Arabidopsis thaliana: one gene and its partners. The protein of the gene in region 4 interacts with the protein of the main gene of each other region in a pairwise test. Each region holds a gene or a part of one and is shown on either strand. Other genes may lie near its edges. The genes, in order: AT1G14670, FZL, AT5G66830 and AT3G57220.

Evidence for each region.
Region 1: the proteins of AT3G57220 (region 4) and AT1G14670 interact in a protein complementation assay, tested with the Arabidopsis thaliana proteins (one large-scale study listed by BioGRID).
Region 2: the proteins of AT3G57220 (region 4) and FZL interact in a protein complementation assay, tested with the Arabidopsis thaliana proteins (one large-scale study listed by BioGRID).
Region 3: the proteins of AT3G57220 (region 4) and AT5G66830 interact in a protein complementation assay, tested with the Arabidopsis thaliana proteins (one large-scale study listed by BioGRID).

Annotation. Positions count from the first base shown.
Region 1 is NC_003070.9:5,034,225-5,041,783, reverse strand, and holds AT1G14670 (Endomembrane protein 70 protein family), read right to left. Parts: upstream 4,209-7,559; 5' UTR 4,116-4,208; coding exon 3,964-4,115; intron 3,685-3,963; coding exon 3,644-3,684; intron 3,536-3,643; coding exon 2,950-3,535; intron 2,874-2,949; coding exon 2,736-2,873; intron 2,626-2,735; coding exon 2,469-2,625; intron 2,374-2,468; coding exon 1,889-2,373; intron 1,805-1,888; coding exon 1,585-1,804; 3' UTR 1,187-1,584; downstream 1-1,186. Other genes in the region: AT1G14680 (early endosome antigen), read right to left, coding at 51-923; NHX8 (Na+/H+ exchanger 8), read left to right, coding at 5,345-5,564, 5,661-5,711, 5,780-5,871, 5,947-6,024, 6,110-6,267, 6,350-6,451, 6,531-6,648, 6,734-6,786 and 4 more.
Region 2 is NC_003070.9:758,052-767,433, reverse strand, and holds FZL (FZO-like protein), read right to left. Parts: upstream 6,174-9,382; 5' UTR 6,114-6,173; coding exon 5,624-6,113; intron 5,549-5,623; coding exon 5,043-5,548; intron 4,925-5,042; coding exon 4,856-4,924; intron 4,422-4,855; coding exon 4,224-4,421; intron 4,136-4,223; coding exon 4,004-4,135; intron 3,455-4,003; coding exon 3,368-3,454; intron 3,278-3,367; coding exon 2,837-3,277; intron 2,736-2,836; coding exon 2,568-2,735; coding exon of another isoform or gene 2,503-2,567; intron 2,410-2,502; coding exon 2,179-2,409; intron 1,950-2,178; coding exon 1,834-1,949; intron 1,682-1,833; coding exon 1,381-1,681; 3' UTR 1,240-1,380; downstream 1-1,239. Other genes in the region: AT1G03165 (uncharacterized protein), read right to left, coding at 110-292, 1,054-1,071; AT1G03150 (Acyl-CoA N-acyltransferases (NAT) superfamily protein), read right to left, coding at 8,993-9,084, 9,175-9,235. UniProt on the Arabidopsis thaliana protein: Probable membrane-remodeling GTPase that plays a unique role in the in the determination of thylakoid and chloroplast morphology and regulates organization of the thylakoid network.
Region 3 is NC_003076.8:26,688,803-26,694,491, reverse strand, and holds AT5G66830 (F-box protein (DUF295)), read right to left. Parts: upstream 3,240-5,689; 5' UTR 3,189-3,239; coding exon 2,004-3,188; 3' UTR 1,803-2,003; downstream 1-1,802. Other genes in the region: AT5G66840 (SAP domain-containing protein), read left to right, coding at 1-18, 119-224, 327-425, 517-631, 723-1,570; AT5G66820 (uncharacterized protein), read right to left, coding at 3,382-4,873, 5,328-5,395.
Region 4 is NC_003074.8:21,171,923-21,178,873, reverse strand, and holds AT3G57220 (Glycosyl transferase family 4 protein), read right to left. Parts: upstream 4,480-6,951; 5' UTR 4,359-4,479; coding exon 3,991-4,358; intron 3,768-3,990; coding exon 3,680-3,767; intron 3,556-3,679; coding exon 3,464-3,555; intron 3,385-3,463; coding exon 3,266-3,384; intron 3,183-3,265; coding exon 3,067-3,182; intron 2,959-3,066; coding exon 2,831-2,958; intron 2,724-2,830; coding exon 2,637-2,723; intron 2,523-2,636; coding exon 2,462-2,522; intron 2,377-2,461; coding exon 2,336-2,376; intron 2,250-2,335; coding exon 2,129-2,249; intron 2,030-2,128; coding exon 1,970-2,029; 3' UTR 1,680-1,969; downstream 1-1,679. Other genes in the region: AGL16 (AGAMOUS-like 16), read right to left, coding at 983-1,164; AT3G57210 (uncharacterized protein), read left to right, coding at 4,921-5,026, 5,142-5,512; AT3G57200 (glycosyltransferase-like protein), read right to left, coding at 6,771-6,951.

The DNA of each region.
Region 1 (7,559 bases), on a different chromosome or scaffold from region 4:
CCAAAAGAGATTCAAACAAAACCACTCATCAGCATTGGATCTAAACTTCATCAATCGATAAATTCTTGGCTGCTCAATTCAATCCTCTTCTCAATCGGACTACTCATCATCTTGATACTCTTTCTCTTGTTGAACTTGTTAGATCCATGGCTTCTCTCTGCAGAACATTGCCTCAAAAACTTGCGGTTTTCTCTATCCAGCTCTCTGTTTTGCTCGCTCACAAGTTCAACTTCTTGCTCTGCTTTAGCAAGATTCATAATGAGACATTCTTTCTCCTTTTCAATTCTCTTCACCATTGACACTAAAGACACAAACTTTTGCGTCGTTGGCTTTAACTGATCCCATTTCCTCAACAAAGTTTCACAACATTTGTCTTCTTCACTATTAGCCTCCAAGAAGATACGCCCCAATGATATACTCTCATCTTTACTAACGAACGATGCCAATATTGAATCAACCAAACAATCTTCTTCAGATTCGATCCGGCTCTTGATTTCATCAGACATTTTTCTAACTTCTTCCTCCAATTCACGAACCCTAGATTCTGCTTCTCTAGCCCTTTCGTCAGTTTCGTTCCCGAACTCCATGAGTGATTCACGATCTTGATGATAAAGAAAGCATTCTTTTTCCCACTTCTTACACTGATTCACCAAATCCTCGCGCTCGCTTCCCAATTTCTGATTCTCTTCGACGAATTTCTTCAGCGACTGGGCATTCATACTCGCTTCGGATCTAACGAGATCGATTACTTTTTCTTTCTCTTTCAATCTCGAAACCAGAGATAGATACTGTTCACGGAGACGACGCTGAGATTCTTCCGCCGTGTAGAGCTTTTTCTGGAGAACGTCCATGGATATCGGAAGCCCTAAAGAGTGATCGATTGTCTCTTTGATAAAGTCATCGACTTCTCGCGAGAGATCCATTTAGAATCAACAAGAAATCGCAGACAGAGTTCGCTCGCTGAAGAACTCTAGGGTTTCTGAATTCCAAAGGAGGAGGATTCGAATTTCAAAATTGAAATCAGTGGCACTAATTATTGGTCAATGAAACCATTTATAGTTGGGCCGAGATTTTGGCCCATTAAAGAGCTAACACTATGTCCTTGTATGTCGGTGGTATCAACCTTGGATCTTTCAATTGGATCCAAACAAGTACAAAAATATGCAATTTACTTCAATTTAGCTCTCCAATATTTATTTAGTTACATCTTCAAATTATTATTTTTATTGTGCAGTATAGACTGAAGATATATATGAAGGAGAAAATATGTGTGTTTTGAAATTTATTAGATACAAAGAAACTCGAATTCAAAGGTATTGATAGTCTTTTACAATAGGTAAAATATATAGAAAGGATACAAGTAATTTAATTTCTGTAGCCCAAAATAAAGAGAGAAGAAGAGAGACTCTCGCTAAAACCTCTAATGAGAAGAGATGCTTCTTTAGAAAATAATCAGACATTGTCTTTGTGTCTCTCTTCTTTCTAACAACCTATCTCTTTATCTTCTTTGTTCTAAGCAAAATTCGTAAGAAGGCAGAAGAAGAAGAAGGAAATCAACATAAGAAGATTGGTGTACAGACCTTCTTACTCGCATTTGATCGACCGGTAAATGTGACGGACAAAGAGGAGGGCTGCGCGGAAGCCAACTGTTCCGAGCATTAAGAAGAATCCGTAGCAAATGCAAGCCATGTATCCGAAGAAAAACGAGGTTTGCATAAAACCCGACATGTCTGATCGTGCGTAGTAATAGTATAAGCAGTATGCGTAGATAAACAAACCGGTCGATCCACCACATAGGAATGATCTGCAATAGAAATTTGTAGAATCAGACTCAAGTTCTCATGGTCAGAGAGAAAAGAATAGAGACGATTAGCTGAGTTTAACGAACCTCCACCACCATTGGTGATCTTCAGCAGCGAGTTGGAAGTAAGTCAAGGCAACGGTTATAAAAGCAGTGACGATGATGAGAATGATGAAAACGATGAATAAGATGCTGTAGATGGTGTAGATCCGGTGACCCCAGACACTAGCGAAAATGTAGTAAAGCTCGATGTAGATGGCACTGAAAGGAAGAAAACCAGCCATGGCCATCTGAGGAATAGCACTTCTGTACCAAGGGAGTGGTGGAATCTCACGAGGATATTTGGTTGTACGGCATGGTGCTTGGAACTCTGCTTTGCTGTTTTTACCCGCGATACCACCCAAAACGAGTAAAGGTGAGGTAACTAGAGTCCATATAAGGACGATCACCACAATGGTTCCAAAGGGTAATGCAGCGGTTGCAGTGTAGGTGATGGCTACGGTGTTAAGGAAGCAAAAGGTTAGGAATAATGGGCCACAGAAGAGACATCCAGTGAGTAACAAGTTCCTCACCTGCAATAATGTCAAAAAAGGGAGAAGTTGTTTATTTCAGTTGAAGATGATTTTTTGAGAGACAGGGATGATTCTCATCATGTGTAAATATTTACCCAGCTTTTTCCTTCAAGTTGACAGTAGAAAGAGGCAGATGTGTATCCGGCAATTCCAGAAGTGAGAGCGTAAATGACCACCAAAGCGGTAAAGAGTGCTCCTCGGTTGTATGGGTAGAACACTCCAACAAGAGCAAGCATGAAAATAAATATGGTGCTGATGACATGGAATAAAAGGAAAAGCTACAGTTAGTTACAGTAAGAAGAAATGCGGATATGGATGAAAGTGTATCCAGATGGAAAGTATTCGAGTTATGAGAGACTTACAGCGTGAACAATTGAGTGCCACTACCGAGCGATGCAGCAAATAAAGAATTGTGAGTAGGGAACCGAAACACATCGCCATGAATGTACTTCCATCCAGTTTCCTCTTGATCATCAGCAGCTTCCTCATCTTGAGCATACCTTTTAAGCATTGGAATAAGGTTAGATGAGATAGACAAGTGTAAAACAGTCGACAGTGAGGAAACTTGAAACTTACTTCATGAAATCGTTCTTGAGGACTCGCATCAAGATAGTTGCAAGGAATCCAGTCAAAAGAAGGACAGTGACACAGGAGTTAATAATGGAGAACCAGTGGATTTCCAAATGATGTGGAAGAGAAGAAGACATAGAGTACTTCTCCATTCTTTTCTCAAAAGGAGTCTCAGTTTCCTTCCACTTCACAGTGTACATAAACTCTGCATCAACTTCCTTATCCTCAGTGAGATCCACAAGCGAATGAGGATCCATTCTAGCACTGATCTCGATCACACGGTCCTTATTGTATAGAATCTCAAACTGAATGTGCTTGTACAAGAAATATTTGAATTCACTCGGATCAGATTTGATATCCTTGTCAACCTTTCCAATGAATCCCCAGATAGGTAGATCATCATAGTACATCTGGAAGTAGTAGTCCTTCTCAACAGCTTTTCTGAACTGTTTGACCTCTTCTTTACTCAACTTCTTGTTGCAGTATACCTCAGACTCTTTTTCATCTCTGAAGTTGAGCTTGTATGGAGCGCTAACTAGCCGATCCCCGTTTAGAACCTCGCCAAGAGCTTCCTTCTTCTCTTTCACACCCTCTATAAACCATATTCAATAATGGGATGATCGAATCAGGAGATGTCACACAAATCAGTTGCGGCTTAAACACAAATCGTGTGATTAAGCTAGTAAAGATATAAGCATACCTGGGATACAGAAGGGAAGATCAAAATATCGATACGTCTCACTGCAATCATCATTGAACAAAACCAAAATCAGTCATATAATAGTATTCAAATCTAAGACAGATCCATCACATAAACGAAAAACATTCCAAATGTAGTTTCTTCTTTCACTCTTTGGTTTTAACATTACGCATTTTGCAGTGTACTCAGTTATCAATGTCGTTACTCAATTCAATAGCAACAGATTCAACAATAAACGATCAATTTATCATCCTCAGGCTTAAGAATGGGAAACAACCTCAGATCTGAAGCTCAGATCTAGAATAGATGTTTCCGTTTACCTTGGATTGTGAAATGGGCCGACCTTGTTGGCGTAGAGAGGAACGGTGTCTCCTTCCTTGTAACGGTGGTCGGAGGCGTCGGATCTGACATAGCCGGCGCCGGAGAAGAGGATAGCTCCGACAAGAAGGAGAATCGTCGTCGGTGTCCTCATTGCGTATTCTGCTCAAATCGTGAGATCTGAGTAACTTTTTTTATTTGGGAGAAGAGGGAGAAAAATGGAGGAAATAACGACAATATTTATATACCAAAGACTTCAATCAAACTCGAGTCAGCTACACAAATTTTAATATTTTTATTATTTTCTCACTTTATTTCATAAGAAAAATACATAAAAAAACTATAGTCAATAATACTTTATACCATTTCCAACCATAAAAATAAATATCAATGTCTATAAATTCATAAATATATGGCTTTTGAAACCAAGACTAATTATTTATAACAAATGTGAGTGGCATTTAACAAAATACAAATCATTTTCCCATATGTAGGCTAATTAAACCAAAAAAAGAATATGTAGGCAGTGAGCGAACTAATTGTTCTGCCAAACCTATGTATCTTATAGTGTTTTTTTTCCTTGGGTCGAAAATCTTATCGTATTAACACTTCATAAATTTTGAATAGTTAAATTATTACTTCTTTGTATTAGATGTGGAGTGGAGTGACTATTTTTTTAATATCTTTTGTGGTTATAGTATAGTGAATATGAAGAATGACGAATGATGTTACACGAGACCAAGTTTTTGAAAAAAAAAATATATGAATCTGATAATCATTTTTCCTTTACGTGCGTTATCGTACGTAATTGCTTTGCATGATCTCACGTCATGACAGCAATTATAGAAACTAAACAATTTAAAATTCTCATTTATACACAACGTGCATCGTTTTGAGGCATGGATAATTTAAGGTTTTCGATTTATAGATTGAATCAGCAAGAAATTACAATGTAGCCACTTATACCAAAAATAAAATCAAACAATTTGAACAAGATACATTGAAGTATGGATCAAAACAAACAAACAAAAGTGACACTAGTTAAGTTTAGAGACTAGAGTGAGTCGGTTTTGTTATTTCATAATTTGGTTCATGTAAATATATGTACCCTTCATTTGAACAGAGTAGTATAATCCAGTAACTACATTCATATCTAGCAAAGAAAACAGAAACCTAATCAAAAACGTATTAAGATTTCTCAAATTTTCGTTCAAATTAGTGATAGAAAACCAGACGTAACCGAAATAAAACAGGTCAAGCCAAACCAGACTAGATTCAATCTTGGTTCACTCTTAAACGAAGCAGATTCGGTTCGGTAAAAGCATCTTTGACCGTAATCACTGGCAAAACGAAAGATTGATCGTTTGCTTCTTTCTACCGGAGATGACGAGTATAATCGGCGCGGCGTTGCCGTACAAATCACCGGAGAAAGCAATTGCATCTTCTTCGTATTCAGCTGAGAACGATTCGAGTCCTGTTGATGCTGTTATTTTCGCGGGAACTTCGCTGGTTCTCGGCACCGCTTGTAGATATTTGTTTAACGGCACTAGAGTTCCGTACACCGTCGTTCTTCTCGTCATCGGCATTTTTCTCGGATCCCTAGGTCTTATTTGTTTGCTCATTAAGCTTTATAGCTCAGTTTCAATTTCGTGGAAGATTTTAGAAAGTAGTTAAATTTTGGATTTTTTTGCTTCTGTAGAATATGGAACTAAGCATAACCTTGGGAAGCTCGGCCATGGAATTCGTATCTGTAAGCTACTGTATTTTCTCTTCTCCATACTGTTAGATTACGAGCTCTAAAAAATGGCAACTTTACAGGGAATGGTATCAACCCTGACCTACTTTTGGCTGTTTTTCTCCCTGTTCTTCTTTTCGAGAGCTCATTCTCCATGGATGTGCACCAGATCAAGGTTTTTACTTTCCTGATTGAGCTACTTCCTTGGCTGTGTTGGTTCCTGGTATTGATTGTTTTACATCATTGGTAGAGATGTATGGGACAAATGGTTCTGCTTGCTGGACCTGGAGTTCTGATTTCCACCTTTTGTCTCGGAGCTCTTATAAAGGTACTTTAACTAGCTTCAACATTTTCGACTGTGATTAAGTGAGCTTCAATTAACTTAACAATTTTTTCGAGTTATGCTCTTGTAGCTTACTTTTCCATATAACTGGGACTGGAAAACATCATTGTTGCTTGGAGGACTTTTAGGAGCTACCGACCCCGTGGCTGTTGTTGCTTTGCTAAAGGAGCTTGGTGCTAGTAAGAAGATGACCACGTTAATTGATGGGGAATCTCTCATGAACGATGGGTAACCATGTCAAACTCTTATGTTTAGCATCAAGGTGATGTTATGTCATATATGATCAAGCTTAGTTGTTTGGATTATTCAGGGTATCGGTTGTGGTTTTTCAATTATTCTTCAAGATGGTGATGGGGCATAACTCTGATTGGGGTTCCATAATCAAATTTCTTGTCCAAAACTCATTCGGAGCGTATGGATTATTTTCCTTTGTTAGTAGTATTGTATGTCGCTGTCTTCTTTTCTCCGCTTATGTTGTTCTGGTTTTTTAGTGTAGGCATTGGTCTAGCTTTTGGAATTGCATCAGTTTTTTGGCTTAAATTCATATTCAATGACACGGTGGCTCAGATCACTGTAACACTTTCAGCGAGCTATTTCGCCTATTACACTGTATGCTCTTCTCTTCTACATAACTTAGTCCCCAATGGAGAATCTTAAATCTCTAGGAAACCTAAGAAATTTCTACTATGTACAGGCTCAAGAGTGGGCTGGGGTTTCTGGAATTTTGACTGTCATGATTTTGGGGATGTAAGTCGTGGTAAATTATCCCTTCTTTCTGTTGTTATGTGTCAAAAAGCCATTGTTCATAACATAATTGTAATAGGTTTTTCGCTGCATTTGCAAGGACAGCTTTTAAGGGGGACAGTCACCAGAGTCTGCATCACTTCTGGTATTTCACAACTCAGTGTTCTTTTTTCGTCAAATCAAAGGAAATCTTTACATGTATATATTATATTTTTATGATTGCCCTATAACTTTTGTAGGGAAATGGCCGCTTACATTGCAAATACACTAGTTTTTATGCTCAGGTACGAACTGTCTGGCAAGATTCGAAAACAAAAATTTACTGGTTATTTTACAAACAAAATACTGCAGACGATGTTTTAGCCGATACCTGATTGATACAAGATCATTGCATGTGTGTCTCTTGTGAATTGCAGTGGAGTTATTATCGCTGAAAGCGTTCTTAGCGGTCAGACAATATCTTACAAAGGTGTCTCTTCACAATTTATTATTCTACGTCCGGATTTTTTTTTTATTTTGTTCTTGGAAGATGTAAAGGGAGGTTTTCTCCTAGAATTCGTCATGATTAACGGATAACATCGCTAATTCCTGATACCATTACCGCAGTAGCTTTCTTTTTGACATATATTGGGGTTAAGAGGACCATTCATTACTCGTAACGTTCTTTTCAGGAAACTCGTGGAGCTTCCTTTTCCTCTTATACTTGTATGTCCAACTTTCCCGCTGTGTTGTTGTTGGAGTTTTGTACCCATTGCTATGCCGTTCTGGCTATGGGT
Region 2 (9,382 bases), on a different chromosome or scaffold from region 4:
AGCTACGGGTAGCAAAAGAAGTTTCCATTTCAAGTGAGAAAAACTTTTCAAAACTTCATGTGTTGTGAAAACAAAAGTTTTTTGGTAATGAAAACTCGACAAAGACCAGTTAAAAACGTGTGTAGTATAACTTACTGGTAAGTAAAGCTATAAGCAAGAATCTGTACCTTATTTTCTCTCTCTCTAGTGAGCCCTGACCATCCGAATTTCGCATTCGCCAATCGCTGTGTTTCCGTGTGTTTTCCCCCTTTTTGGTTTTAGATTTGCCTAAACCAATCAGAACAAGAGAAACCTGGAAACAAGAACCAAAAAAAGTGGGCTTTCTCTGCATCATCATTCCACTTCTGGTCCCCAACTGAAAAGGACAATCCAAAGCTAGATCCCTTCAAATTTTCCTTTTTGTTTTCGAAATTTTCGCAATTTTTAATATTATTTTGGAAGTCTATGTTTCTTTCTGATCTTTAGCAACAAAGGAAGGTGGAATCTGTTTCACGTTTACACAAAAACATGTCAACTGGAGATTTTCTCTTTCCCTAACTTTTGACCATACAGTATGGTCCATACTTAATATTCTCTCTTTGTTTTTAATAAAATAAAAGGTTTGGTTATCAAGCATATATGTCATTAGCTTAAAGCTATGACTTTGTTTAGAAAACTTAGGAGGACCATATGGCAAGCTTTTATACAGTGTTAGACTTCTAACGTTAATTCTAAACAATCTCCAGTATCAAGCATTAACAAGGTTTATTCTAGCACCTCTGGATTTTTAAAACTTCTCGAACCAATCCTTAACTAAAAAAGAAATTCAAGCGTTTTATCTTTAGAAATCACAGCTAGCATATGCTGAGAATTACTCTCCATGGAAACTTATACTAAGATTGTTTTTTTCCCTCATATTTAAGCCACTAAAGTCAAAAGATTAGTACATTGACAACTAAGTTTAGATGCTCTATGCGGAGAATCAATTTCATATGAATGTATCAAGCAATTCATGAACTCTAGGAGACCATAAAATCCAATTGACAGAAAAAATGAGTCAACTAACATATTTACCTGTGATATGAGGTACATGTGCAGGTCAAAGATCAGAAGAAAATTTTCTCCATGAGTCTCTTGAGCTTCCAACTCATCCAGCGATTTGTATCACAAACAATCTGAAAAAGAAGCTAAAAAACGTTATACCAAAGTTTCACGCCCATAATGCTATTGTTTGGTTCTTTCAAGAACCTCCCCAATCTTTTGAATTCGCATTCAAAAAAACCATCAGTGAGTCCATTTCAAGTCGGAACTGGCAGGTATTATTCATTATGACAAAGTACATACACTTGCCCCCCACTGAACAATGTCAAGAAGGGAAAACCCGACATTGTGTTGGAATAGCTAAAGTCTCATCTCGTCTCGTGATACATGAAGGTTATCAATATCAACTTGTAGCAACTGTAATTTACTTCTAATATCTGATAATTCTTTCTGGATTCCTAAAAGACGATCAAGTCTTAGCTGAGCTTCTTCTCGATAAGGCTTGGCAACAATATTCACAAAGTTAACTAGATTACTCGTCGCATCTGAAAGATCTTTTTGCATAGCGTCTTCGAGCTGTTGAGCCAACGCATCAGCCACTTTATTCACCTTACCAATTATAGCCTGTCTTCGATATGGGAAGTTTGCTATAGCCACATACCTGTCACATAGATTATGTTATGCATACAACCAGTCTTTCTTAAAAGTCATAAATATGCCTCTAGTTGCAAGAAAAAAATACACTAGGCGTGATCTAAGAAGGTGGAGTAATGAGACATTGGGAAGAGGGGAAATTTAGAGCAGTGTTATTACCCTCCAGCGGAGCAAAGGCCAAGAGCAAGAAGATCTTCCAGTGTGGTCGGTAGCACTGAGGTTAGAAGTGATGCAGACAGTCCTGCAGCTCCAAGCCCACCAACTGTCACAAAGAACTAGAAAAGGCAAGCAAAACTCAACTATGTCAAAAGTGTCACTTAGATTGATTCTTGAATAGCGAGACGAAGTATCTGGGAAAATACGGTACTGAATTAACATCTCCGTCAGATCATAGGTTCGGATTGAACAGATGACACAATTAAACAATGATGAAGATCAAGACACTTTAATCGACTGAATTCTAGTTAGAACTTAGACTAAAAGTATTTAATACTTGAAGCTCACCACTTCTCGAATATCTTGTTCCAATCGTTTTGATGTGGTTCCGGCACTCAAGTTCTGTATTGTTTTCAAGCTGACTTTATCAGTTTTCTGAAGTAAGTCATATGTGTCTATGCCCAATTGCGTTTTTGAATTGACATATGTTGGCCATTTGTTTTCGAATGATTTCAGAGACAGACTCCCTTCACGGGCAGTATTTGATTGTAGCCATTCAGCATATTTTCCAAGCAATTCCTGCAAACAGTGAAATGTAAAGTCAATCAGGTCACAACAAGACATTGTTAGACAATATTTACTTTCTGCATGAATAGTGACTATATCTCAGACCTCATATATATGACCAACATGTCCCCAGTTAGGCCAATACTCAAAGAATAAAGCATCACACTTACTTTCGCATTTGTGAGTGCTGGAGCGAGTATTTCACCTTGAACTTTGGATGTAGCTGCTACTGAGGCCGATTTTTCCCCTTTGAACACGTACGAGATCGCAAGATCAAGGCTTGATAGTCGCAGGGTAGTTCCTATCAGATCAACAACTTGTAATCTGGCATTATCAATCTGCGATAAAAGCCAGAGTACAAAACACAAAAAAGCCAAGTTAGAACAATCCAATTTCCTCCTTCGTGATTCAACAAGATAATATCTAATAGAATTTATACCAACGAGAGAGCCTGCCTTCTCCAAGAAATGCTCTCATATTCCATCTTAAGCGCGTATTCTTTAGTTCGACTGATAATCTTGTCTGCTGAAGCCAAGTCTTCCCTAGCAGCTAGGCAATCTTGTCTCACAAGAGCTTCCACAGAAGAAAGGAGACGCTCAGCAATCGCCATGGGTGTCTCCAATTTAAGCCTTATTCTCTCCATCCCGGTAGCTGTTGAGCTATCCAAGAAGCTATAAAGAAATTTCTCAAGTTCATTGAAGCTCTGGACTCTCCAATTAGAACCAGGATCTGCGATCTCAAGATCATCTCTGCCAACCAAAGAAGCTGTTGAAAGCTTCGCCTCAAGAGCAGACCGTGCGGACACCGGATACAATATCACATTTTCTGTATTAAGCAACTTCCGTGTATTCTCTTTAACAAATGAAATAGCTTCCTCAAGCTGCAGCAGTAAAATTAATCTTTAGTCAAGAAAAATCCAGCAATTACAGAGACTATCAAGGAAAAGACATAAATATTGTTTCTGATAAACCTCACGAGCATCACGATAGATATCAGATTTATTCAGAATAAACACAAATTTCTTTTTCCACTGCTGTGTGTACCGGAGAAACGCAACCTGACAAACGCAATGAGATGTAAATCAGCCTACAGTAAAATCAAGACAGCAGGAAGCTCCAGAGGTAGAGATAGAAATGACATGGGTATGATGACATTGAGAAGCTTATTCCTTCTTTTGAAACTTTTTCAGATTTTCAAAATAAGAACCAAATATTCATAAGGTTAGTACTTCGTAGATGATCATTTACATACAATTTGCCATGGACGTAAAATCAGTTTTGCTGTACCAATAACAACTCACCTCTCAAATGTATTGGCCTAAGCTTTACCAAAATATGGACCAACAGGACATACTGGTTCCAGCAATAGCTATAACACTCATTACTTTGAAAATAAATTAGTCTAGTTTAAATTTATAATCAACAAAACCTTGATATATGCATTCAACCTAGTGACAACTTTCCCTTCCCTACACAAGGTCTTGATGGTCTATACATGACTTAACTAACTACTTTCGTGAAAAATAGATCTAACAAGCTACTTAGGCAGATACATATTGAGCAAAAACAACAACAACTAACATGCCAAGTAAAACGGTAACTTCTACCTCACTTTCAGTTAAAGGGCGGTCAGCAGAAAGAACAAAAACAAGCAAATCTGCACGTGGAACAAATTCTTCTGTAAGACGCTGTTGCCTTTGAAGGATCACATTGGTCCCAGGTGTGTCAACAATATTTATCTGCTCGAAAGGAGAACAACCCAAATCAATTCCTCCAAATAATTAGTAAAAATTCAGGACTGCGATGGTAGAATTTTGAATTACTCACATCCTTAAGTATTGGTGCAGGAAGATAGCATACATATTGGCCATCTGGATGTGTTTGGCAACGTTGTTGCTCTTCGGATTCCAAGTCAGAGTAGCACAGAAACGTGATTTCATTGGTAGTGGGGACTACCCCTTCTTTCAGGTATCTCTTCCCAAGAAGTGCATTGATAACCGTTGATTTTCCAGAGTTAAATTCCCCCTAGTACCAGCAAATTGTGGATTCCAATTAATTATCCATACAAAAACTATTTTGAATCATAAAGGCAACTTGTCCCACTTAAAACATCTTCCAAGAACGGCATACTCACAAGTCACAAGAAAGCGAAAAAACTATGTACACAAGCAGATGGTACAGTTAAGAAATATGCAGTTCCCTTACAACCAGATCCATAAGCAAATTAAGAAGAGAAGCATAGACAGAACAAAAGAAGAAGCGAAACATCATAGTCATAGGCGACGAAAGAAGATATTGAGAAGCACTAAAGGACAAGTGACTAGAAGCATGCCCATTGTATCTCAAGCTATCTAGTGCTGGCAAAAGTGTGTAACTAAAATGTTTCTGGAATGAATATAGAGCTAATACCAATGCAAATTCCTGGAATCACAATTTGACGGAGTTGAGTGCAGAATTACCACTATAACCATCAGAAACGGCTCATCGATCCGAGAAACAGCATCAATTAGAAGGGAGACTTCCTCCATCTGTTAATGAAAAATAGTCGAAGAAGTAAATGAAACCATATTATAACCACACAAAAACCTACTTAGAACCATTTCAAAAAATTGACTTCAACTACCAAATGTTTGAAATAAAAATCACCAGTGGAGCCGCCTTGTGGATGATTTCAATCGTCTCTCTCAACACAGATTTCTCCATTTCTACTATTAGTTTCTGTTTGTCCTCTAATTTTATGAAGCCAGCAGAATTCTTTTTCTCCGGCAGTTCATTCATATTTTGTGTCTCATGATTATTTACAACATAAGCTCCATCAAGACTCTGGCGAAGAGCTACATCCCTAGAAGAACGCAAATCTTTCAACGAAATAACAAAACCAGAAACACCTGATTTCAGTAACTGCAATTCTTCTTTAGCTTCTTCATTGCCTCTGCAAGTCACATATATCGGTATTTTCACGCTCTTCAACAAAGAATCCGCCACTTGCGTATCTTCTTCACCAGATCCAAGTATAAGGAAATCAGCACCCTCGGAGCTTGAGGCAATTAGAGCAGAATCAACATCCTTCACAATCCGAGCTACCAGTGGAAGAAGTACCGAGTCGGGGTTGGATCCCATCAATGTGTTTCTCGCCACAATCGCCGGAAGACCTGTACATAGCATTGAGAGACAAAACTCACTCTATGAGAAATTAAATGCTAAAACTGAATGAAATCAGTTGTTACCTTCGTCGGAGAGAGCAACACCACTAGCACCAACGGCGGAGGCGATATCAACACGTTCAGCGATCAAGAGGTAAGCACGGCCTTTGACAAGTGATTTCAGCAAACAAGCCGCCTCGTAGAGCTTACCAGCGGTGGCTCCGCCATCAATCACGACGATTTGAACCGATTTAGCTAAAGCACGGTCGACCAAATCAAGAGTCTCTTCACGATTCCCGCTCATAACCTCGTCGGCGTCTAGCCGGAGAAGTAAACCGGGAACGGCGAGTTCGGGACGCTTGTAACCACCAGGATAAAGAGTTCGCGGCCTAGAAGAAGAAGTCTGATCGGCGGATTCATGCGAAATGTTTCTGATCGAGAGAGAAGAAAAACGCCTATGACGTGGAGGAGTAAAGGAGGATAACTTAAAGCACCGGCCAGGAAACGGTGGAGATGCGGCGGAGATAAGAAACGGTGACGTCACACATTGCCGGTGAGAGATTAGAGTTCTCATGGAGAGAGAAAGAGAGAGAGTGAGATACCTTCGTCTGTGTTTCTGATTAGTTTTCTTATCTCTTAAATATCCTATTGGCCCATCCCAAAGCTATAAGACGGACGGCGCGATTAATTACTTTTCAAACACATGAATTAACGTTTTCACATATGTGTTCATATCCAAAAGGTCCAAAGTATACCACGAAAAGGGAGAAAAACAGATTTAAATTCGTGAAATCCCTCTCCCACAATTAAATTTACTTCTTCCAAACAAAGACAAACGGCTTGAACCAGTCAAGTAAGTGATACGGCACCACTAGATGTTCCAGAGCCTCCATCTTTTTTAATACGAAGAAGATTTGTCCTTTGTGTGTATGAATTTAACAAGTTTTAATTATAGATTTGTGTGTGTATGAATTTAAAAACCTAGTACGTAGCATCAGGGAATGATATCATAGCTATTTTAGTTGAGCTTTCAAATAAGAGATGATCAAAATTTAGAACTTCTAAGAACATGAACGAATAAACAACTATTTTCTTTTCAAACCAACTAAGGTAGATGGTCACTGAAAGTATATACATCAGATAAAAGTTGCTTGTTATTCCAGATGAAGTTGGACCGAGAAAAAAAAAAGTTACTTGTTATTCAATATGTTTGGATCTTTGTCTTGCAGATTGCTATATAGGGTTGATAATGGGCTTCGTTGTAATGGGTATACAGTGTATAAGAATCGGCCTTGTGCAACCAATCCTAATATGTGTGTCTCATTAAGGTAAGTGCTTAAGATTAGAAGAGTAAAACACTTGACTTATCAACTATGTCAACTAAGGGTTCTATATTTTTATTAAATAAAAAATAATTGAATATTTTTTAGAATGATTTAATAAATTTAATGCTATTGTTTGATTTAAATGTATAATTCACCGCGAGAAGAAATTTTATAACTCAAATTTTAAAGTTTTAAGTTGTATTTGTTTATTTTGTTAAATGTTTAATATTGTATAATTGTATTTTGATTGTTGTTTCTCGGATTTCACCCGTAGTACATCATCCCATATTAATATCGAATCAAACCCGTCAATTCTAAAATTTCACCCGTGGTAGTATTTAATTGTATAATTATATTTTAATTGTCATTCTAAGATTTCACTCCTAATTCTATCGCAAATTATTATCAACCCAAACCAGTCAATTCTAAAATATCACCCGTAGTACACCATCCCATATTAATATCGAATCAAGCCCGTCAATTCTAGGATTTCACCCGTGGTAGTATTTAATTGTATAATTATATTTTAATTGTCATTCTAGGATTTCACTCCTAATTCTATCGCAAATTATTATCAACCCAAACCAGTCAATTCTAAAATATCACCCGTAGTACACCATCCCATATTAATATCGATTCAAACTCGTCAATTCTAGGATTTCGCTCGTGGTAGTATTTAATTGTATAATTATATTTTAATTGTCATTTTAACTCCTAGTTCTATCGCAAATTCTTATCAACCCAAACAGTCAATTCTAAAATTTCACCCGTAGTATAAAGTTTAAATATTTATAATATTTAAATTTCTTATAAAAGAATCAAAATGTGTTTTAAAAAAATTAAAGTTTTAAGTTTTTTTTTTTTAATATTGTTAATTTTGTTTAGTGTTTAAGATTATATAATTACATTATGATTGTCATTATATGTTTTTCTCCATAGCATACTATCCCATGTTATTATCCACTCAAACCTGTCACACCATATAACCCCGTCCCGTGAAATTAAACACAAATTTGTCATTTTATTATAAATTTCAAATATTTATAAAATTAGAAACTTCAAAAAAGATTAATATTGACCCAAACTTCATCATTGAATTTTGAGTGTTATATCTAAGATTTCTCTCGCAATATATCGTCCCGTATTAATATCTTTTATATTGTTTAAATTTCTTGTAAAATTTAATTTATAATTTTTTAAACTTTTTAAAGTTTCAATTTTTTAAAATAAATAACCCTAGGAAACAAACCATTTTAATTTAAAGATAAACTTTATAAAAAGTTTTTAAAATTATAATATTTAACTTTTGATAAAGTTATAATATTTATAATTTCTTGAAACATTTTAAAGTTTCAATTCTTTAAAATAATAAATCCGAGTAAAATCAGATAACTATTTTAATTTTGGACGCTTGATAAATCAAGCTTCCTGCTCATTCGTAATCAGAATCATTTTGGTCCTTTTATAATATGGGTCTGAACCATTGTCCAATTTTTCTAAGCGATGTGGGACATTGTACACATATTATTTCTTCATAGGTTGAATAATATATGTCCGTTTAAAAAACTTTGAATTACATCATATTCAGAAAAAAATATAATATTTTATTAACTATATATATTTTATATAAATTCAAAATAAATAAAGTATAAGATCAAATAAAAATGAAAGAAGAATTATATATTTATGTTTAAATTAGGTAGAAATATTTTAGGAAATTGGTTAAGGTAAATAAGAAATATGGTTAGTTTAGAGATATTGTTTATATTAAATCATTAATTTTCGTTTTTAATTATTAGTTTTTAGGTAACTTTTCCAAAAATTAATGTTATCCAATATCAGAACAGAATTAAACATGTTATCCAGGATCCGAACAGAGTTAAACCGGGTAAAACCCAACCATTTGAATTAATTGTTGAATTATGGCTCAAATCTTCAACATTATCTTCAAAAATCTCCTCCAAAAATGTATATATAGATTAAAGTTTAATCAAAACTAATTATAAATTTGTGTGGAAGAAAACGAAACATAATAGTTCAAATACGAAACAACAGGAATAGTAACATCATCTAAAGGCTCTTGGAGAAATTTTTAATGCAGATAACAATTGTGAACCAAGTTAGGGTCTTAATCATACTCTAATTCATCAGGTGTGATAGGTCTCTTGAGAGGAATCACAGACTTTTTCTCTACATCTCTTGATAATGCCTTCCTCATATCTGTTTTTTTAGATCAAACGATTTAAGATTTAAACAAAAGAAAAAGTTAAGCGCGAATCATAGATAAAAAGAAGTTAATCAAAGCCTCACCTAATCCATCTTCCTCTCCTGAATAATAGCGTAAAACCCGCCTATAAATTATGTATCCAAGCTGCCAGAAAAAGGAGAAACGGTTTGTTTCATCAAAATGGCCATCAAGAAGAAGCCTATGAAGGAGATTTGACACTAATAAATGGAAATATGTAAAATGTGTGCATGTCCCATTTACAACTTCTTCTTTTTTTCCTACAATGTCATC
Region 3 (5,689 bases), on a different chromosome or scaffold from region 4:
ACAGAAGGTTCACCACAAGTAATAACTTCTCTATAATAAACTCATGCTTTTTACTTCTCCTATCACTTTTTTTTTTTTTTTTGTGTTTCCCTAAATCAATGATCTTGGGGTTGAATAGGTATGAAAAGATGAAAAAGAGTGGAAATATTATGGGGAGAAGAACTGTCGCTGGCCAGGTTGTTAAAGAAAGCTATGGTACTGCTAAACAACAACACACGTTCACTGTAAGTCTCACCTCTAATGTTTGTTGATCATCTTTATATTCTCTGATCTTGTTGCCTGGTTTCTTCTAACTTCTAACTATCTGGTTTGTGTCTTTATCATAGATTGAAGTGCTCTGGTGTGAGGGGACACAGAAATTGCCACCTTTGTATCCATTACTAGTCAAAGGACGAAATCTTTATAGGTTAATGACCTTGAGGCAGGTGGGTTTTCTTTTCTATTTTTTCATATTCAGTCATGAGTCTTGCCGGTTTGCATATGCTTATCAGTTGGTTGCTCCATTTCTTATTCCAGCGATGGCCAAATGAAGAAGACAGAGTCAAAGTTCTTAACGAAAAGCATAACCGTGGTGCCGCAGCAAGAAAGGTTATGAGAGAAAGGAAAATTAAGTCAGGCTATGTACTAAAAGGTGAGAGATGATTTAGTTTTCTTTGTTATAGAGGTGTGTTTATATATATATGAGAGGTTTCTTTTAGTGATCTTTCTGTTTCTGTTACCAGATGGAAGACTTCAAAAGCCTGGTCATGTGAAGAAGCCTTGTCAAGTAAAGACAAGAAAAAACGAGAAAGATGAGAATCTAACCCAGAGGCTTAGACAAAACACTCCCGCTAATCATTCACTTGTTGCTTTTCCAAACCAAAATCCTTCACAGGGCCATAAGAATCATCCAACACAGTTGACAGATATGAATCCCGCTAATTTCTACACTTCTCGACCACATGCTCCTCGTTCACATGCACCTCCTACATATGCTCCTCGACCACATGCTCCTCGTTCGTACGCTCCTATCAATTCACATCTTCCTCGTCCAAATATTCCTCCTTATCATTCCTATACTTATTCAGAACAACAAAACCAAACAAACCAACGACCACCACCTGCCTCCTATACTTATTCAACACAACAAAACCAAACAAACCAAAGACCACCACCTGCCTCCTATACTTATCCAACACAGCAAAACCAAACAAACCAAAGACCACCACCAGCTTTCTACATCAGAAGAACTGCCTCTAATGCTCCGCAGGGACAAGCATCATTCAACCCACATGTCAATACACACACTGTGCCGGTTACTCATCAGAGGAGACCATACCAGAACCCCCATGTCAGCTCGAACAGTGGCTACAACCTGGGAGTGAGGGACTTGGAACACTTCTCGCATATGATGATAAGCCACAGAAGAGAAGGAGACACATACAGGCAGAGTGAGGTCACTCAAGGGCCATACATGAACCATCAGACCTACCATTCCAACTTCAATAGTAGCTACAACCATGGGGCAAGGGACTTGTACATGGTAAACAACAGAAGAGAAGGAGACAATCACAGACCAAATTATCGATAACACACCGTACCTCGTGAGTAATATCTTTCATCATCATACAAACTTGGTACTTGTCTCTTTTGCAAGTAAACTTACTTCAACACAATTTCCAGGTTCTAAGGCCATAGGAAAGCGTCCTGATCATCGGTTCTCAACCCTTGTCTGTGATTCGTAAGAAAGTTTTCTAGGCTCATGATTCTCTTGATCATCCGTTTCTCTTTTTTTTTTTTTTTTTTTTTTTTTTTTTTTTTTTACGGGTGTGATTTTTTGCCTTCACTCTCATCTTGAGGGTCCGAGACCGTCCTCAAAAGTTATTACCTTGTAATCAAGGATGGTGTTCTTGGCTTAATTATTACTCTATATGGCAAGTATCGTTTGTTGGCTTTATTCTTTATTACTAAATGTTGCAATACTTGATATGAAGAATACGTAGATACATTAAAAAAAAGACAAATTACTGAAGGAAGTATGATTCTCGTTTGAAACATGGCAAGAACCATCGGGCTCTAGAGCGGGGAAAGGAAGAGGAAACAGATCGGTGCGGTTGTTCAACGGTGTTGGAATCGAGGTCGAATATGAAGATTTCGTTTTCGTCATATTGATCTTTAAAATAAGGAGTAGGATTGGAGAAGTAGATGGAATTGGCCTTGATCCCTTGCATGTCCTTGGCGAGCACTGTGATACCCAAATCCAAAAGAATTGTCTCGTCTCCCAGAGAAACAGTTTTCTCCCACTTGTTGTTGTTCCCTTCCATCTTGTAGATTTCAAAGCTCCATATCTTGGACAGACTCGGACGATGGCACTTAACAATTAAGACATGTCCGGCTAGAGTGACTACCATATCATCCTTGAAGTGATTCAACTGGTCCTTCATTGGAATTCCAGGAAGTCTCATTCTCATGGAAATACATAGTGGATTATTTAACAACTTACTTACGCTAGTTTTGAAAACTTTGACCGGAATATCTCCAGAGAAATCGAAGACCTTGAGTTTATAATTGCTCAGACAGTAAAGTTTGTGATCCTTAAAAACCATGCTAAAACACTCTTCGATACCTGACAAGGTTGGGATTTGTTTCCACGAGGAATCTCCTTTCTTGAAAGAAATGGCTAATTCTTCATGAGCCATTCCAATAACTAGGTGATCTTTGCTTTTCTCATCGGTCCATAATATCGGACATGTGAGTCCAAACTCTGGTTGGAGAATCGGTAGATTGATTCTCTCGCGGGTTAGAAGATCAAGAATATAGAGATTATTACATTGATGGTCTAAGTCTTCTTCCATGTATTCTGATTCAGGTTGCATCAAAAGCCAGCTTCCATAACTGGCGATACAAGAGCTCTTTGCGAAATCGTTGCCGAGATTTGGAGTTTTGTACATCTTGTCTTCCTCTTCAGGATTGAACAAGAGACAGTGATTGTTGTCCTTGGGGAATCGAATCATCCAAGGGATTTGATTGTTTGGCTGAGAATTTCTCGAAACTGAAAGCCAAGATGAACAAACGGATTTTGCACGTTGGAAATCGGCAAAACCAAGGCGGTCAAATACAAATTGCATGAGATCTGAAGGAAGCTTCGACCAGCACCAATCGAGATTTCTTCTCTGATCCGGTGGACCAGGGAGTAGCGGAGAGGCCATAGGACGGAATCTTAACCAAGCCCTTCAAGTTTATAAAGACGTCGAAACTTGTCTACGTGACATTCATTATTTAGGTTTGACGTTGCTTGTGTTTATATCTCACTAATGGAATGGCTTGGTGGCTGCTCAGAAAGCCCATTGGGCCTTGCATTATTATATAAAATATTTTTGTTTTTCATTCTTTATTTCTTTGTTAGCCCCATTGGTTACAGAAACTTACAAACCTGGTGTGAGAGTCTGCTAACAAGTTCTGAGGACCCTTAACAAAGAAACTCTCACACTCCTCTCCATCAAAACCTGAGCTTTTACCTTCTCTCACTTCCTTTAACTTATCCATCAAATTAAGCCCTGTCAAGTGATCTCCCCAGATATCATAGTACCTATACTCTTTCGCTTTCTCTTCTTTCACTTCGGTTCTTGATTTCGCTCCAGGTGCTCTCACATTTGGAGCCAGTGAGCTTCGTTGTATGATCATTGACTTAACCCCTGAAACCGGAAACGTTGCTGAGTGCGATAGGACCGGTTTAGTAGGAGGCTTTACTAGCTTCGTTGCGGCTTGAGTAGTAGGTGGTTCTGGTGATATTGGAGACCTAGGAGTTGAGTTTCCGCTGTAACTGCTTGAAACATCTGTGCACTCTGGTGTTAATCCGTTGATTCCTCCTTTCTTCTTTTTCTTGTTACGGCGCCTCTTCTTGTCTTTCGCTGTCTTTACAGTGAGATTCACAGCTTCTGATGCTTCTTCTTCGTGTGAAGAAGCAACTGGCTTAACGCTGCTGCTGTTCTTGGGAACCTCATCGAACACTTGCAGGCTTTCTTTGCTTATGGATCTTAGCAGAGAATCCATTTCAGGGGATATTGTGATCGTAGATGGTTTCTCAACTTCTCTCGACTCCATGTGGTTGCTATTGTTTCTCTTGTTGTTCTCCTCGATGAAGTGATCATTGAAGCAAAATATCAGAATGAGTAGAGCTGCAGCAATAAGAACCGCAATTGCGAATTTCTTCGTCCGCACCCAAAAGACCGGTTTTTTGTAGAGACTAAGCATCAAAACAGGTGCGGTCGCCTTCATAGGTACTGCAAAAACAGCAACTCCAGATGCCCAAGAGAGTTCACTCTGGTAGAAAAAGAGAAACTTTATGGAATCCCCTGGTTCTAATGAAAATCCTTCACATGGATGGTTCACCATAAAACCATTTCCTCCACATTGTTTTCCTGAAACCGTAATACTTAACTCCCTTGTGGTCTTCTTAGTATAGAGCTCTTTGGACATAGGCTCGTAACAAGTGTCTCCAATGTGAAAGAATCCAGTAAATGGCTGAAACTCTATGATGTGGACAGGCTTCAGAGATAGCCACACAACACCAGATAGATTTTTTCTGATCAGAGCAGAGCTACTCCGTGATTCTTTGGGACAAGCCAACACAAATGGATCAGACCGATTCTCTGATCCTAAAGCTGAAAGGAAACAAAACAGCTGTGAACTAGGACAAACATTCTGGTCAGATTTCTGGATTGCTACACTCCCAGAATCTTCACCATTAATAAAGCCCTGAAACTCCATAGCAGCAGAACCAGTGTTGTAACCATATTCAGCTAAGTTATGCAATGTATTGACTGATGAAAGCAATAGACATGAGAGAAGGAGAAGACAATGAAACGCCTTTGATGAACCAAATGCTCCTCCTCTGTTAACACATAAACACAAACACATAAGAGAGGTTTAACAAACAATGAAATTAATTTGGGGATTCACCAACTACTTAAAAAGCTATAAACATTCTAGGAAACAAAAAAAATCACCCAAAAATGAAAAAGGGTTAAAACAAAATGAAAATTTGAATAGTACCCAAAAGAGAGAATGTCATTTGAAGAAATCAGAAGCAAGAAATAGTTCTATAAACAGAAAAAAGACAAAGAGGAAGGAACTATTCCTATTGATAGCGAAAGGCGAAACTTGAATTAAAACTGTTCTATGAAAACATCGAACTAAAACCCAGAACAAGTAAGTGATAGAAGAAGCAGAGTAGTACAAAAGATTCGAACTTGATGTAAAAAAATTAAAACTTTCGTGAAAATCGAAGAACCCATCATCGGGAAAAGATAAAATAAAGTGAGGAAGAAAGAAGAAGAAGGATTTACCCAAGGTGGAAGAAGAAGGAAGGAGGCGTAATCGCTAGGGTTTTTCGCTCCATGTCTGAAAAGAACATCGAATCATCTGAAATTTAGGACTTTTTTTTTTAAAAAGATTATGTGAAGATTTAGTAAACAAAAAAATAAAAGAAGCGATTTTCTTGGGGACGAGAGAGCAACGCCACCTGAAGGAGAAGGGAGGCTGAGGACCAATAGACTGGAAAATTAAAGGAGAGGAACAAGATGACATACTCTTCCTTTAAATTACTTTATTACCCTTCTCTTATGACCTAACTGTTAATCTTTTGGCTTGGGTCCTTTCGTAATATTATTCAGTCGTCTTCTTTTTACCTTTTTTTTTGTTTTAAAAT
Region 4 (6,951 bases):
AGCAGAGAATGAGAGAAGCCAGACAAAATTGATGTAAATAGAGCCAACTCTAATCAGTAAACAGTATAGATATCTTGCTGTCTTTATTGAAGAGAAAAAAAGAAAAAAACAGAGTCTCAGTTCAAAAAACAGAGAAACAACAAAAGCTCTGCAGAACAATGGAAGCTTTCTCCCTCTGAAACAGATCTAAGAGCCAGATTTTATTCAACCTTTTTTAATAAACAATTATGTAAACACGAAAGATACAATCAAATAAAGAAATGAATGAACTCCTAAAGTAGAAATTCAGAAAGGATTGAAGATATAATATTTTTCTAACAAATCGCAAAATGTTCCCAAAAAGAAAGACTATACTCCTACATATCATTAACAAATGACCAAGTTGAAGAATTAAAAAAACAAAAACTTGATTATGGATGACAACGAAATCAGAAATGATTCCCCCACTTGTGTACTAACAATATATATTAAGAGAAGATAATGCAGCTCATTTTAGGTACATCAAACCCACCAACTAGTTGCCAATAAAGTAAATGAACAGTGAAAAGGAGACGATTCTTTCTAAATCCTCTCTAGAGTTTAGAGTTTTCTTCAACCACTAACCACTTTCTCCCCTCCTTTCCTCTTCTGATAAAGTTTCTACCAAATTTAGTATGTTTCAATAAACACCACAAGTCCCTCACAATCTATGTTCCACACAAATATCGTAATCATCTCCAACAACACAGAGAACACACTCTCATATTCCCCTTACAAAACATATTATCATTCAAACCAAGTGATTTCTTCTGCAAATTATCAGACTAAGTTGATCTACGATTCCTTCTCTAAAGCAATTGAATTTGCAAACAATTAACAAGAAATCGACTTAAGAAAGAAAAAAAAAAATCGAGATTTAGAATTTGCTACATCAATCAATCAACCAATTAGATGGACCAAGACCCAAAAAAAAAGTCAACCAAAGAGAAAAGAAAAAAGGTACCTGGAGCTGGAGAAATCGTAGAGCCTACCGGTGCTGGAGAAGATGATGACACCAACCTCAGCATCGCAGAGAATCGCAAGCTCCTTAGCTTTCTTCAACAATCCATTCCTTCGCTTCGAGAACGTAACCTGACGGCTCGTAGAGTTATTGATCCTCTTAATCGCGATCTTGCCCCTTCCCATTTCTGCTTCTATCACTTTTACACACAAACATCATCGTCAATTTCAAATCATCATCTCCTGAATCCAGGGGAGATTTTGAATAAAATAAAAAAATTGAACATTTACCTTTTTCAAAGAATAAACTAGATCGCGGGAAACGAGATCTGGTAATCCGATAACCGGAAGGGGGAGAAGAGAAATTGGTTCAGTTCAGAGATGTGGTTTTGTTGATCGAAAGAGAAAAAGGAAAGAGAAAGAGAAAGAGAAGAGAGAGCCACATAAGGAAAGAACATATGACAATTTGGGATATTTAGGGCAAAAGAGTTTTCTTACTATATAAACATACTTCGCTTGTTATGTTTTGACACATGGCATTCTATAAGTGGGTTTCTTTTCCGATTCTCCTTCTATTTTTTTATTACATTCTTTATTATTCTAGTACGACAGTAGTCTGTCTAATATTAAAAGCGCATTTTTAAAATTCAAAAATATATGTAAATGGACACTTCATTTAATGCATGCTATATTAGCAAAACTTTAATCTAAAAATTATTTAGTTTATTAATCAAAGTTATCAAAATAAGATCAGCATTTGTAGTTAAATTTAAATTCCAAGACAAATTTGTTCTGATTCATTTCATTGGCTTTATATTGTTGAGATACACTCGCCTTTAGATGAAAACTCTCTATATAAGTGAACTAAAACGATGATTCTAGTAGATTGTTGGACATGAAGCAAAACAAGTTCTGTGTTTGTATGATTTGTGAAGGCAGAGAGAGAGATGAAAAGAGGAACAGGTTTAGAGTTTCTTCATGTTGCAGAGATTTATTTGTACCAACCAGCTAGAAAATGCCTAAGCATGAAACAAAATGCGCAAGCAAGAGCCTGCAATAGAACACACAAAACACCAATCTTGTGATTTCTCTCTCTCAGAATAAACCAACTTGTATTTAGAGATGATAATATGGGCATTAACAAGTTTACCTGGAAAACAAGAAGATGAATACATAGAGACTTTTCTGTTTTCCTACCAAAAATCCTCAAGTAGACGTTCACGAGTGTCCCATCTTTTGTTCCTGTTAACAGTCCCGTAGCAGGATCATACCTGGTTTAAAAAAGAGAGAGGAAGAGTCATGTGTTGTTTACTTGTTGGCTTTGCCTCTTATGAAAAATGGACAAAAAATAGCTTACTTGGGGAGACGATGTCGTGGACATTTGACAATGCCAGCAAGCTGAAGAGTTATACAATAGCAAGTTAGATGCTTTCAAATGTATTGAAAAGTAACAGAAAGTGTGAGATGGAGAAAGGTATCAAACCTGCGGAAGTGACAGTAAAAAGTTCAACACTTGAGGAAGAAAAAAGATTAACAGGGTTTCACTGCAAAAAGCAAAGTTTCATAAGTAGTTAGTTAATTGAAGGCTCACACATAAGTTAAATGTAAATGATGAATCTAAGTACATTGCAATAAGGACGGTATGGTTAGAAGTATACCTGAAGTGACCGAGAATGCCAACAACTGCCATAGTCATTCCAGCAAAGACTGTGTAAGTGTCTCCAACAAAAACTGCAGAAGGGTACCTAACATCACCAAAGAGGGGACATGAACGTGGTTAGAGAAAGCATTCTGCTTTGCTAGTTTACCTGATTGATTTAAGAGAAAATGACTTGAAAGATCCAAAGATTACCAATTGTAGGCAAGCATTGCCAAGGATGTTGCCATCAATGGCTGAGTAAGATAGATTGAGAAGGCATGAGCTTGATGATACTCAGTATCAACAGATGCTCCGATTTGCATAACGTTGTGTATCAGAATCTACAAGTTACTGAGATTTATCATAACTTTACTTACGAGAAACCAACAGAAGGAAAAATGGGACCAAAAAAATGAAGCATTGCGACGCATTTTGACAGCAGAACTTACAGCAGCTGCAATAACTACGGTTTGACCGATTTCAAGGCCATTCAAACCAGCGTGAATGTTAATAGAATTTGTGCAAAAGACAGCCAGTAGCGCCATATATAACTTATATATACGTCCTGCCACGATAAATATACAACTAAGGAAATGAATTTCAAAATAGCTATTGATGGTTTAACACTATATACAAGATGAATTGTACCTAGATCAAACACTTCCAAGCCAATATAAGAAACTAAAGGTTTCGGTATGACGATAGTTGTATGTCCAGCATAAGCCATCAACAGTGGAAGGGTTGCAAAAGATGGCAAGAGAAGTTTCCTGCAAATTGACAAGAGTTAATAAGAAAACAAAACTAAATCATGAATTTTTAATCCAACAAAATGAGAACTGCACCTACACTCTCCAAGGCACATCAAGGACGTCATCTACAAATCCAAGCAATATCATGAAGCAAATAGACGCCAGTGCTGCATTATACTCCACAAGCCACTGCACCGAGTCATTTAGCCAGATTGATAAATTGCATTCAAAGTAAATGAGCCAAGAGCTACCAAGTTCATAGTTCACAATAAATAAATGATCAAGCTTGAGCTTTTGAGACCAGGACACTTACCACCGAATCTTCAGTGAAATTAAAGAACTGAAATACAATCGCCACTATCAAGAAGACAATACCGACAACAATTCCCAATGACTCAGGCCTACAAAGAAATAAGATTGCTGAAAATAAGCACATCAAAAGACTTTAAGTCCCCTGAGATCAAATCAAGCGTAAACATCCATAGAACATCAATCAGAAAATGAGACATCTCATAGTTTTCCTCCTATACAAAAAATCAAATCTAAGAGACATCCATTTCTAGAAAAACGCTGAACACTAATCTGAGAACTAAACAAAGACAAATCTAAGAAGGAAAAACATACACTCTAACTTCTCCTTGAGGAGTGCCTCTTTTGTTGATATCAAAACCAAACATATTACGCCTCAGAACGTATCTAGCAGCTACAGGAATCAACTTGAGTGTGACAAAGAATCCAACCAAGCTAAGCCCAGCGTTAATGAGGATCGGACGCTTGAGCTCATTGTCAACATTGTAGTGGAAACAGAGAAGGTAAAGATAAAGCGAACACAGAAGCGAAGAGATCACGAAAATCACGCCCAATTTCGGCGGCGCGAGCTGGAAATCCTCTCCGGAAACAGAGGTCTTCTGAACCGTCGGGGAAGATGCAGGTTCAGGTAGAGCTAGTTTCTCCGAATTGGACACTGAAGGAGTTCTCTTACGAGCAGTCATGGCGGATCCGTTGGCTATTTCTGGTTCCCCGCCTCTGGATTTGCTTCTTCCACTTTTCGCTGAAGCTTCAAAGCCTGTAGCATTTAATTACAACTTGCCCACGCACAACAATACGACATCGTATCAACACCACTTATTTATGAATTATCAAAAAGGCCCAAAAAAGCAAAGTATAAAGAAATAAATAAGTCTATGGGATTCATGTGAAATTAGGCAAATTACTAATATCTTTTTTTTTTATATAATCAAAGACTCATAATGTAAGAAAGAAGTTAACAAGATTACTATTAAGAATGCATCCCATAGACTTATTTAACTTCTTTGATTATCATCTCTCTTTGTGAAATTAATTAGGCAATTACTAACTATACTATCTTTTTTTTAATCAAAGTGTAAGACTCTTGTCTTCCTTTCTTCTCTTTCTTTATCCACTCTTGCTCTTCTTTTTATTCAAATTTCGTTTTTGATTTATCAGGGGACAAACTTAAAGCTCTCTCACGTTAAGAGATACAACAGGACTCTGGCTGCTGGTGCTTGCTGTTTCTACATTACTTTGGTTGCAATGCAGCCATCTAGTGGAAGGCGTTTTACTTTTCAGACTTCCGTTTATGAAGAAGCTTGTGGCCGGCTTGTTTTGACCTCCTTTATTGCTGAAAGACGTCGTCCAGGTAATTAAATTATTATTATACTACATGTGACTCCTTACTTGGGTAGGCGTGTTCATTAACACATCATTATTATTATTACAACAACTAGTATTTCATTCATCATTGTATATTTTAGGGACAATCATTAAAACGTCGTTGGAAAGAGAATTCTACCGCATGGGTAGCTTGCCTGAGTTCCCGCTGGAGAACCCTTTCGAAAACAGAAACCGATTTTACGTGGTGGATGATGAATCAGAGCTGCGAGCCAATGACTGGATTCGTCTGTATCTGGAACTTTCTGTTGCCATATCTGATAGGACCACCACGGATCATGATCTTTCCGGCTTGAGGATTGTGTCAGTAGCCATTCAAACTATGGAGCCACCCAGTGAGTCCTCTCTCACTGCTAAGAATGCAACTGTCTACATAAGGTACATTGACTTTTGTAAGGCTCGCTGTGGTCAGAACCTTGATCGCATAGCTGTAGTTAGAAGAAACCTTCAATGAGACTACGGGATGCTTTAGTCTCGACGGTTGGAATCAAAGCTCAGATATCATACCCAAAAAGAAGGCTACGAGTAGCAAACTTCTGTCCCAGCGTTTAATTCACAAATCACGGCAGATATGGCGGCGGCGGCGCACAAACCATGGCGTTGGCTTGGCTCATCGTCTTCGCAAAACAAGATCCATAGAATCAGCCATCCGAAAGTATACCCAAAAAGGGTACGAGTCTGAGCGTGAAACTTCTCTTACGGCGTTTCAGCATTCCCAAACCATGGCGGATATCTAAACTTTGACGGCGCAAGGCTTACAAAAACCATGGCGGTTCAAAATTTGGATTAGAGATGATATTATTAAACTTATTAATTTGGTAAAATGTTAAGTGGACTGGTTTCTGTGTGTTGTACGGTTTCCTAAATGTCTCCACCTTGAATAGTTTCTGTATGTAATAAGAATTTATTTTAGATTTCAGAGTTATGTATCACATGAAAAAGGCACAAACTATAAAGTATTTAAGAATATGACCATCTTTTTCTTTTGTATCAAAGTGTAAGAAAGATTTTAACAAGAAAAGTTTAAACAATGCAGTAACTACTAAATCATACGTCCAACATGTATAAGTTCTTTTAAGTTGTTCTTATTGGTTGTTATGGTCCACAACCTTATCAGTACTTGTCAATGCCTGGTTGCTACTAATTTGACTTAAGTACTCTCTTCTAAATTATTGCTCATGTTCTCAGTCTGAAACATTAAGTTTCTGTAAGGTTTAAGTCAACATGAAGCTGTTTGTGACATCAGCTGAGTGACTCATAAGAAGCTAAAGATGTTGAGAAACCAAACTTCACATTTCAGGAAAACCATAAATCTGAAGAATGGAAGGTAGAGAGATAATTTGATACTTGATGACAGGAGTTCTGGAAACGTAATTGCAGAACCTTCCTAATTGATAAGGACCTAGCAAAACAGAGCGAGAGGAAAGAAAAACCACAAGTGTGTAATGCTGAGGATCAATCATGTACATATGAAGATAAAGGAGCACAAAAGAAGACTAGTAGTCCGATCTGGAAGACAATGATTTTGTATTCCAAGTTATAGAATCATCAAGTATGATACAACCCCTGCTATATGACATTCCTCTTCACCTGTAGAATCATCTGTGTGTATAACCTAAACGAAAACTTTCCTAAATGTACACCAGAGCTCAGGTTCAAAACTGTTCATAAATCATTCTAAAAAATCCCACCCTTTGTAAACACGTTTCATATTATAGTTCCATCTGGGTTGCTTCCAAGCCTGGAGGCGATTGTGGTGGTACCGCTGATGCTTGGGATTCACCGTCAACATCAAGATGGAATTCCAACACCCTCCTCTTACCAGTTTCCTGAGATGATTCTCGGGTAATGCCTGATGTCGAATCAGCAGTTGAAGAGTTCTTCGAAGGAGAC